3 linked regions of the Rattus norvegicus genome follow. The protein of the gene in region 1 interacts with the protein of each later gene in a biochemical or structural test. Links are inferred from orthologs where the notes say so. Each region holds a gene or a part of one and is shown on either strand. Other genes may lie near its edges. The genes, in order: Tlk1, Mbp and Asf1a.

Region 1 (3,655 bases):
GGGAGGAGCTGAGAGAAGTAAGGAGTGACAGACACTGCAAAGTGCTGCACTCTACAGCTGCTAACAGACAATGTTTGGGAAAGAGAGGGTAAGGAGAGAGCGCCACATCAACTGCTGAATAACGCTGACCCAAGGAAATAATCAAGAAACGTGCCTTTCCTTGGAAGGATCTAAACTGATTCTAAGTTAATAAAAAATTACACATTTTTTAAAATAACAAACAGATTAACTTATCTCTATACAATTGAAGTTGGTTTTACAACTTACTTTTCTACCATAGAGGCACTGGAAGAAGATGACCCCAACTGACCACACGTCAACCTTGTTGGAGATCTTCGGTGGCTCTTTTCCAACTACAAAGCACTCGGGAGGTAAATACCTGTGAGTAATAGGAGGGAAAAGAAAGGACACGATGCTTAGTTTAAAACCTTCTAACCTTAAAATGCTTTGTTTTTTTTAAAGATTAATTTATTATATATAAGTACACTGTCGCTGTCTTCAGACACACCAGAAGAGGGCATCAGATTCCATTACAGATGGTCGTGAGCCACCATGTGGTTGCTGGGGTTTGAACTCAGGACCTCTGGAAGAGCAGTCAGTGCTCTTAACCCCTGAGCCATCTCTCCAGCCCCCTAGAGTGCTTATTTTATTTACTCACACATAAACTGTTTTCCATGAATCAAAGTTTTAATTCATTTAAACCAAAATTCGACTTTGTAAAAAATATATTTATCCTAAAGAAAACATGATCATTGGAGATTGTGATAGTATAATCTAAGCTTCTAATAATGGAAGAAAGACTCTCCCACCCACCTCGCCCACTGTCTAAATTGCAGATAGTTCTCTTTTTTTTTTTTAAAAAGATTTATTCATTTATTATATATAAGTACACTGTAGCTGTCTTCAGACACACCAGAAGAGGGCATCAGATCTCTTTACAGATGGCTGTGAGCCACCATGTGGTTGCTGGGAATTGAACTCAGGACCTCTGGAAGAGCAGTCGGGTGCTCTTAACCGCTGAGCCATCTCTCCAGCCCCGCAGATAGTTCTCTTAAAATACACACCAGACCACTGAGTCTCTCCTTTAAGTTACCCAAAGCCCTTACTTATTCCAGTGAGACAGGATCTCATATCTCTCCCTGTAATATAACCTATCCTAATTCGCAATATAAATGCCAAATCTACAATCACCTTTATCCCCGCTCTTACCCTAAACTGGTTAGTCAGGTCACTCACCCTCTTCTGGGCATGAGCTTTCTCTTTGCCTGCCACGCAGAACATGGCTTCCTTCCCCATGCCAGGGGAAGGAGGTGTGGTGCACCTACAGAAGCAGCAGCACTCCTTGCACTATACTTCAAGAAGTGCAAGGAGCTTTGGTTTACTGTGCAGCTGCAAACACTACCAGTCAGTGTGTGAAATATACCAAGCATTCAAACATTAACTTTTAAAATCCAAAACTGCTATTCATAAATTCCTATTTGACATACAAAGGTAAAAATATACTAACTTTCCGGAGGTTACAAGGCTGACAGACTGTGCTCTGCACTGTGAATGCAGTCACTATTTAGGCAGCACCACAGGTTGAGGACACGACTTTCATGTGGCTTACAAATAATCCACAAATATGACTAACTCCTCTCCAGCAAAGTCAGCACACGTCAGGAGAGTGGTCAGCACACGTCAGGAGACACGGGCTCAAGCACACTCCGTGTGGGCTGCCCCGGGCCCTCAACACTCGGTGGACTTGCAATCCTGTTCAAAGAAGTTGTGTGCAGCTCTCTTCCCTGCCAAATCTCCCTTCTTGCTAATCTCACTTATTTTGAGAACTAGGTTAGTTTTGAAAATGTTAGTCTATGTTCTCTACTCTAGCAAACTTGAGTAAGTTTGCAAATTCACACCGTCATGGGCTTTGTAAATGAGCAGGGTCCTGGTGAGTTCCATGACTTGACAAAAGCTCTTGAGTCACACAGAGTTTGGGATCCTGCCCTGACTTCTTTCCATGTGGAACAGTGCTGTGGAAGTGTCGGTCCACTAAACCCTTTCCTCCTGTTTGTTGGCTGTAGTGTTTCGTCACACCAACAGTAACCCTGAGACACCTAGGTATGTTCAGGATGACTTTTACATGTAAGAATCAGTTCTATCTAGATTTATAGCTACATAAAGAAATTTGAGTCAGGTCTAACGACTATGAATATGCTGAATTATCTACAATTAACAAACTCGATACCATTCATATATACACACACATACACATATACATACATACACACATCACAAATCTTTACAGAGAAGGCCTGAGGTTCATGGGTGTTCTTATTTGAAACAGTCAGGACATTACATCAGCAAAAGTACGTATTCAGATCATAAACATCACTCAACACCCTAAGAAAACTCACGATCTCTGATTCACACTAGAAGTTCCTGGCTGCTACATATTAAAGTCATACGCAGATGCCAAGACACCCTTTTTGCAATTTTCGATCTTTGTAGCTAAGAATGTAAGAAGAGAATACTAGCCACGAGACTCTCCCTCTCACTTCCAAGTCTTAGTATCAGCCTTCAATACAGCAATCTCAAAGAATATTTGAAAATGAAACTGAACATTCTTTTTTTTTTTTTTTCTTTTTTTTTCCCCCCCTGGAGCTGGGGACCGAACCCAGGGCCTTGCGCTTCCTAGGTAAGCGCTCTACCACTGAGCTAAATCCCCAGCCCCGACACTGAACATTCTTAAACCACTGGGGACTACTCTAAGCAGTCTCCCTATGTTTACTAATAATACATTTACCAGTAAGTGCCTGCCCCCTGGGAAGTCAGATCCATCCCATCAACACCATAACTGTCATCGTCCATAATCTTAGACAGACCAAAATCAGTGATTTTGATTTCTCCACACGCCGTTCCATCTACTAGAAGGATATTTCCTAAAAAACAAAGTACAACATTTTTAGTAATGTGCATGTGCGCATTCACACACACACCATATTTATGAATGAAAGGATGATTTTTACAACTAAGAGAAATGTTTGGTAAATAAATGTGTATTTGGGGACTGATTATGGTGATAGATGCCTTTAGTTCCAACATTCAGGAGGCAGAGGAAGGTGGCTCTCCCTGAGTTCCTCTGCCTAGGCTACACAATGAAACCCTGTTATAAAATACAAGCAGAAATGCAAACATAACCCCCACCTCCCACTACCCCACCCCATACCAACCCTGTAAGATACACTTCCTGAAATACCTGGCTTAAGGGGTTGGGGATTTAGCTCAGTGGTAGAGCGCTTGCCTAGGAAGCGCAAGGCCCTGGGTTCGGTCCCCAGCTCCAGAAAAAAAAGAACCAAAAAAAGAAATACCTGGCTTAAGGTCATAATGTATAATAGGAGGTTTGATTTCATTAAGATATCGTAAGGCATTCACAATCTGCATCACAATGGACCGTGCTTCTTTCTCAGACATCAACTTGTGTTGTTTCAGGTAGAAGTCCAAGTCATTGCCTTCACAGTACTCTAGCACTGTACAAAACCTACACCGGGAAGGGAGTAGTCAATAGAAAAGGTACACTGGGAAAGGAAAAATCATTCTCCAGTAACTAAGAATGCTAACAGAGAGATGAGACCATAGCCTACACCATCATCGAAGGATCAGAAACAAAACCAGT
Region 2 (3,755 bases), on another chromosome or scaffold:
TAAATTACATTCGTTTAAACCTCACACTAAGTTGAGAGGGAATGGACTTGCGGCCGTCGGTGAGAACATTGCATTTTCCATGTGCTCGGTAGTGAAGTGCCCAGGTCCCACGTGAAGCAATCTGGTTACCATGACTTGCAAGGGAGCCAGATCCAAATGCCCTGAATAAGCAGTTCCCGGAGCCAGAGCCTCCAGCGGAATCCGGGAGAGAGGAATGCTCAGTGCCCTGCTTCCCTGGACTGTAAGTTGCAGAAAGATGTGGGAAGTTCTGTTCTCCACTGAGAACACTAAAAGCACCTTTTGTCAAACAACGGCTTCACATCTGGGGCTTGTGCACCAGTGGTCTTTTAGACAGTGAGCAGCCCACAAGATACCTAACCTGCGGGGCTCTCTGGTACAGTGAGCAACTCAGGAAATGTTTTTGCTTCATTGCTGCGGGCTCTCAGGTCATCGCTCTCTGGAGTGGTTCTTTTGATAAGGATCTGAAGACAGCCCCTGAGCCACGTATACCAAGCAAGCTCAATACGGGTTAGCTCCCTTTGGTTGAGGCTATTCAAAGTGCTACGAGGCTCCTTGGGCCCTGCGCATATCTGTGCGTTTTATAGGAGACAGCTAGTTCAAGACCCCAGGAAGAAAGCGGCTTTGTCCCTCTCGAGGCCTCGCACAGGCCCACATTCATATCTCATTGTTGTTGCAGGGGAGGCAGATGCGATCCAGAACAATGGGACCTCGGCCGAGGACACAGCGGTGACAGACTCCAAGCACACAGCAGACCCAAAGAATAACTGGCAGGGTGCCCACCCAGCTGACCCAGGGAACCGCCCCCACTTGATCCGCCTCTTTTCCCGAGATGCCCCGGGAAGGGAGGACAACACCTTCAAAGACAGGCCCTCAGAGTCCGACGAGCTTCAGACCATCCAAGAAGATCCCACAGCAGCTTCCGAAGGCCTGGATGTGATGGCATCACAGAAGAGACCCTCACAGCGACACGGATCCAAGTACTTGGCCACAGCAAGTACCATGGACCATGCCCGGCATGGCTTCCTCCCAAGGCACAGAGACACGGGCATCCTTGACTCCATCGGGCGCTTCTTTAGCGGTGACAGGGGTGCGCCCAAGCGGGGCTCTGGCAAGGTGAGCTCCGAGGCGTAGAGGAACTATGGGTTTAACTGGCAGAAAGGAAGGAGAGGTGGGCAGGTGAACTGGGCCAGTCACCATGGCTGGCATGTCCCTGTGTCTGAGATACTGGCCCTGATTGGACAGTGGTGATGGCCTGGGGGAGTGGGCGAGGAGTGGGCGTGGTCGCCACTTAGCCTATGTCAACCCGTATTGCTACCTTTGTCCTTCTCACAAGGGACTGCGATTGGGTGTCACTCTGAAATGCAAGGGCCTTCTGCATCCTAAATTTTGAGGCTCCCTGGATGAGTCATTGAGACTACTGGTTCTTAAGTGTATATGCCCTATGCCTGGGGCTTCAGCCTATTCCGCCTCTGCACAGTGCTTCCCGTTTCGATCCTGATTTGTGTTCATTCTCTGCTGGGTTCAGGCTGCTAATTTCTTGCCGCTGTGAAACAATGGTCCGGTTGAGGCAAGGAGGTCTGCCGAGCAAACCCCTGCACCTCCAACAAACTTTCCCCTTTGTCTTAAGTCGTTTGGTTGGGGGGCGGGGGGGTGTTTGAATGTATGTTCAAGACAATTTGTTTGTGTGTGATTCCATTAATTTAAATATAACTTGGGTTTCATGATGTTTCGAAAGCAAATATCCTGTGAATTAAAATGTATCAGAAGATAAAACGGTGCAGGTGGTCCAGTTTCCAAGGGCAACATCTGGGGTGGACTATGCATTAGCCTGTGGGTTCAGGTTTGTGACACCAGTAACTAGTGTCAGGTGGCTGCCACCTTGAAAGTGCATGGCATCTTCTATGACTCTGTTGGATGGCCGAGCAACTCTTGGGAGAGATGTGGAACAAAGCCCTGGTTTGTGAGTAGCCTCACAGCCTGGGGATTTTTCTGTCTCTTAAGTTGTGTCTGTGTTCAAAGCCCTGGAGAACTCAAGAGGCTTTTGACTGAAGTGTGGGGCAGAGGCCTCTCCACGGCTCTAAAGCCATTGCCAGTGCAGTTTCTGAAATGCTGTCGTCTCCAGCCTCACCTTTGAGAGTGGAGATGGTTGTGAACTGCTGGATTCAATGACAGCTCTTCTGCCCTGTGGCCATCAGAGCCCCTTGGTGTCTCAGCAGCAGTCTGGCCCTCACCTGGATGTCACCGCAACTTGACTGTCACTAACACTCGGTGTGTCTAACTTGTTAACAGAATTCAAGCTGCACCAGGTCCCTTCACAGTCTGTACTTAAAGGTGTTGCCTTCAGCCTGAGACAGCAATCTTGTTTCCAATGCTAATTTACATGACAGTGGCTTTTCAAGCTGTCTTAGGGCGCTTGAGGGCTAGAGGCTCCTGACTGCCCCCCTCAGGTCTATCTGTGTAACCACACATGCACACAGCCTCACCCAGTCCATGTAGCTGGAGGAACAGGACTTAAAACTGGGTAGGAAAGACGAAATAGCTACAGGGCACAGATTCTAGAACCAGTCTTGAGGTCATGGTTCAAGTTGAAACACTGTAACGGGTTTATGTGTTGCTCCATGGCTCTCCCAGAGGGTACAGATGTGCCTCTCCATCCGCTGCTTTTCCAAGAAAAAGAAGAAATTCAAAACTCAGAAGCAGTCCAAATATTCGCCATATATAAATACATATAATTTTTTAAATTGAGATTTTTTTGAAACTTCAAGTGTCAATTTTTTGTACCATGACTGTGCTTTTTGAATATGAAGGATTATTTAAATGAATAGCCTTCATAGCAAAAAAAAAAAAAAAAGTCCCTCGGTGTTTGCATGTGTGGTCCTTATGGTCTCGTTATTATTAGCGTTTTAATTAGCATATGAAATAGGGTTATGGCATTTCCGTACAGAGTTTGTGTTGATGCTCCCCTGTGCCTCCCGCAGCTTGTTCCAAGCATAACCAAAGGTGCTTTCCTCTGGGAAGCTCCCTGCCCAGGACACAGCAAGGGTCAAGCCTTGGTGTCCAAGCCTCTTTGATTGTGGGTCCTTGGTTGTTTAGCATTGGTGAAGGAGGCTTAACTCACTCTACACCTGGCTATAAATCACAATCCCCAGAGAAGCTGCCAGGGGCAGTTACTGCCCTGGGATGTCAGGAGCATCTGTTCTATTTGTAGTTTGATGTTTGTAGAGGGGGGGGGGCAGGGCTTGCTTTCCTATACTACAGAGGTCCTTAAGAATGTTGCAAAGAATAGAGTCCAAAGGCTAGCGTCACTTGTGATGAAAGCCTGCACCCTTGATGTTATTCTAAGATAGGCATCTAACATGCATGCAGGGTGCTTGGGTAGCAGTACAAGTGCCAGCACCTGCCACTTAGAGATGCAGCTGTGTCACCTGTGTGGAAAAGGGTCCCCAAATAGAACCTGGGAGACTCTGAACCCCCTCCCTTACCCTGCAATGTAAGGTCATGTTGTCTCCTGCATCCTCCCTCCCCGGGGCACGTGGTACCTCCGTGCCATGCAGAGTCACCACCCCCAGCTCCCAGAATGCAGGGACAACACCCAGCCTTTGTGCGTTTTCCAGGCTGACATTCAAAGGCAGCACATGAAGAATGCCCTGAGAAGGCATATTCTTCTGAGACCCGTGGTGAAAAGTCCATTAACAGAGAGCATTCTCCTTTGTCCTGGGAGGAAAGGGGGGCTG
Region 3 (2,829 bases), on another chromosome or scaffold:
AGAGTCACAAGGTTCCACATTAACTGGGAAGATAACACAGAGAAACTGGAAGACGCAGAGAGCAGTGACCCCAATCTGCAGTCCCTTCTTTCCACAGATGCACTGCCTTCAGCATCAAAGGGATGGGCGACGTCAGAAAACTCACTCAGTGTCATGTTAGAATCCCACATGGACTGCATGTGACACGTGCCATGCCATTAGTACAGATTAAGCTATTAAAACAGAACTATCTCCCTGAAGTTCCGTAAGTACATAGTCAACGTGAAATGTGAAGAATTTGTTTAAAAACATCCTGTAGAAAGTTTATAAGAAAACCAGTATTTGAGCAAATTGTGGAATATAAATACAACTATTTTTAAGGACTTTTTTTCTCTAATGTGTTATTTTATTTGTTCATGAAACTAATCTGATTAAAGCATATATATTATTTTCTTCTCTTTTATATGTAATTAAAGCACTTATAAAAAGAAAAGTTATCAATTCTTAGACTGGGTTGTAAAGGTGTTTTAGCCTCTTGGACAATAAGATTTATCAGCTTTTAAAAGGACAAAGTTTACTTCAACTAAAATGATTTTTCCTGTGAAGATAGTATCCTTATAATTTGACAAGAAAATTTCCATTCTGTAGTAAAAAAGATAGATTTAAAATGGGATTTGAAATCAATCACATGCCACCAGGGTTTTTCTAGGCCATCCCAGTGCATCTTACTACAGTTCACATTAAACTGGACTTCTAGTTTTTATATAACAAATGCGGCTGCCTTTGAAGTCCTTCTGACTATCGTGTATGCTTTCCTACATCTAAAACTGAGAAACTATGATCCTAAGCCATCACTGTCTAGAGAGTCCAACACATAAGAGCAAACATAAGGTCTCTGAAGTGTAAGACTCCATTATGATGGCTCAGATCTGCTCACTCTTTCTGCTTACAGGAATGCTGAACGTGCGTTGCTGGCACCATTACTATTGAAGGGTGATTTAGGAAGGTCTAGTCAGCTTCATCCTGGCTAGCGACTCTAGAGAGTATGTCTTACCTTTTGCAGCCACACTACCCCATATCCTTTGGTTCTCATAATGTGTAAGATCAGGGCATTATCTGTAGTTAACATAACAGCTTAACCACTTTTTTTTTTCTCAGAAGAATAGTTTTAGAAAGGAATTCACCAAATAAATGGGCCAAAAGCTTATTTTCTTTAATGAGAAGTAAATCCTCAAAGTTTTGATCCATTAAATTGACAGTACAATATTCTCAGTTGTTATCAGTGATGATGCCCAGGATAGCCATAGGTTCAAGTTATGCAGTGCCTTCACATCTAAGCTTTTATACTGCACTTTCAAAAGCATTTTGAGGAAAAGGAAGGGGTATTTATTTAAATACAGACTCTATAAGTTGTAATATATTTCTTGCTTTTTTTAAAAGATAAATTTGTGAAACAAAGTCTTGTTAAATGTTAAACTTTGAAATTTAAGACTCCATATTACCCAGTTCATAGATTTTAAAAATAAATATTTCTGGCTACTAAAATGATTTGAAAAAAAAATCTCATTTTGTCTAACTACAATTAGGAGAAAATGTTTAAGACAGTTCAGTGATCAGTACAGTAAGAATAAGTTTGTCAGAAATAAAGATAATTAAATCACCAAGTAAAGCAACTCAGTGCAGTCTTAGATTATAGAACCACTTTGTGATGACATGCTTAGGTCTTTATACCAAACTTTAAATATATGGCCCATAGTCACAAAAGTCGGAGAAATAAAATACTGCCTTTTATTATTTAAATGCAATAGCATTTAAATTTAAAAGTGAAAGAAGAATAGAAACATTTACACATTAAGAACTAAGAAACTAGCATGCAGGGATTTTCCTCCTGATTAGCCTCATTTAAAAAGACATTATGTCTGAATTACAGTTAAAAGGCTTATAGACTCCGCTCCACCCCACTTCTTTTGAGATATGGTCTCTCAACATAGCCCTGGCTGTCCTGAACTTTCCTTAGACCAGTGTAGCCTTCAGCTCACAGACATCCACCTGCTTCTGCCTCCTGAGAGCTGGGATTAAAGGCATTCGACTCCACACCCTGCACCACTTCCTTGTTTCTATCAGTATAAATAAATGTCTGGTGAATACGTACACATACAACACACACATATGCACACACACAGTCCACACCGCTGAAGAGCTAGGGGAGTAGGTTATGATGGTATGGAGTTGAAACATTTCAGAAGTCTGAGGAGGCACACATGCATTTGCTCATTCACAACCCTTTCTGACCCTTCATTTCTGTTCAGTCCATGGGGGCTGTCAACGTGGCCCAGTCGGTAAGGTGCTTGCTGCCAAGCCTGGCTACTTCAGTTCAGTACCCAGGATTCACATGATAGAAACATTCTCCCACAGGTTGTCACCTAACTTCCATATATGCTCACACAAACTAAGTAAATTAAGGGTAATGCAAAATTTTAAGACTATGACATGTTTCCTATCGCAGTCCATAGTATAAAATGCCATATGACCATGCAATGCAAGTATACATTTATATTAGGTTTTTCAAGAAAGTAGCCCTTCGCTGCCCCTACTGTGTGCAGCCTGACTCTTGATGGATTACAGGAGTGCCAAAGCCCACTGACATCTTTGAGTGGGTAAAAAGTAGCAATTAAGTTCCTACAATTACAAAACCTTTACCAACCTTTTTTCTCACCTTTGGATTATGATCTTGACATATGAAATGAGGGAGGAGAGTGCTAATTCACTTTCTATTTATATTATCACTAACACTTGAGAACTTCTTTATTAATAGTGGCCTGTTAGATGGCATAGGCTAGTGCTTGGCAT

The links.
Region 2: the proteins of Tlk1 (region 1) and Mbp form a complex in vitro, tested with the Homo sapiens proteins (2 studies listed by BioGRID, with this or other methods). The link is inferred for Rattus norvegicus from reciprocal best matches to the Homo sapiens genes TLK1 and MBP.
Region 3: of the proteins of Tlk1 (region 1) and Asf1a, one has a biochemical effect on the other in vitro, tested with the Homo sapiens proteins (3 studies listed by BioGRID). The link is inferred for Rattus norvegicus from reciprocal best matches to the Homo sapiens genes TLK1 and ASF1A.

The regions. Positions count from the first base shown.
Region 1 is NC_086021.1:75,934,029-75,937,683, forward strand, and holds part of Tlk1 (serine/threonine-protein kinase tousled-like 1), read right to left. Parts: intron 3,521-3,655; coding exon 3,351-3,520; intron 2,922-3,350; coding exon 2,786-2,921; intron 380-2,785; coding exon 268-379; intron 1-267. UniProt on the Homo sapiens protein: Rapidly and transiently inhibited by phosphorylation following the generation of DNA double-stranded breaks during S-phase. This is cell cycle checkpoint and ATM-pathway dependent and appears to regulate processes involved in chromatin assembly.
Region 2 is NC_086036.1:78,209,365-78,213,119, forward strand, and holds the start of Mbp (myelin basic protein), read left to right. Parts: upstream 1-957; coding exon 958-1,134; coding exon of another isoform or gene 1,135-1,152; exon of another isoform or gene 1,153-1,794; intron 1,795-3,755. UniProt on the Homo sapiens protein: The classic group of MBP isoforms (isoform 4-isoform 14) are with PLP the most abundant protein components of the myelin membrane in the CNS. They have a role in both its formation and stabilization.
Region 3 is NC_086038.1:33,449,284-33,452,112, forward strand, and holds the end of Asf1a (histone chaperone ASF1A), read left to right. Parts: coding exon 1-183; 3' UTR 184-2,195; downstream 2,196-2,829. UniProt on the Homo sapiens protein: Histone chaperone that facilitates histone deposition and histone exchange and removal during nucleosome assembly and disassembly.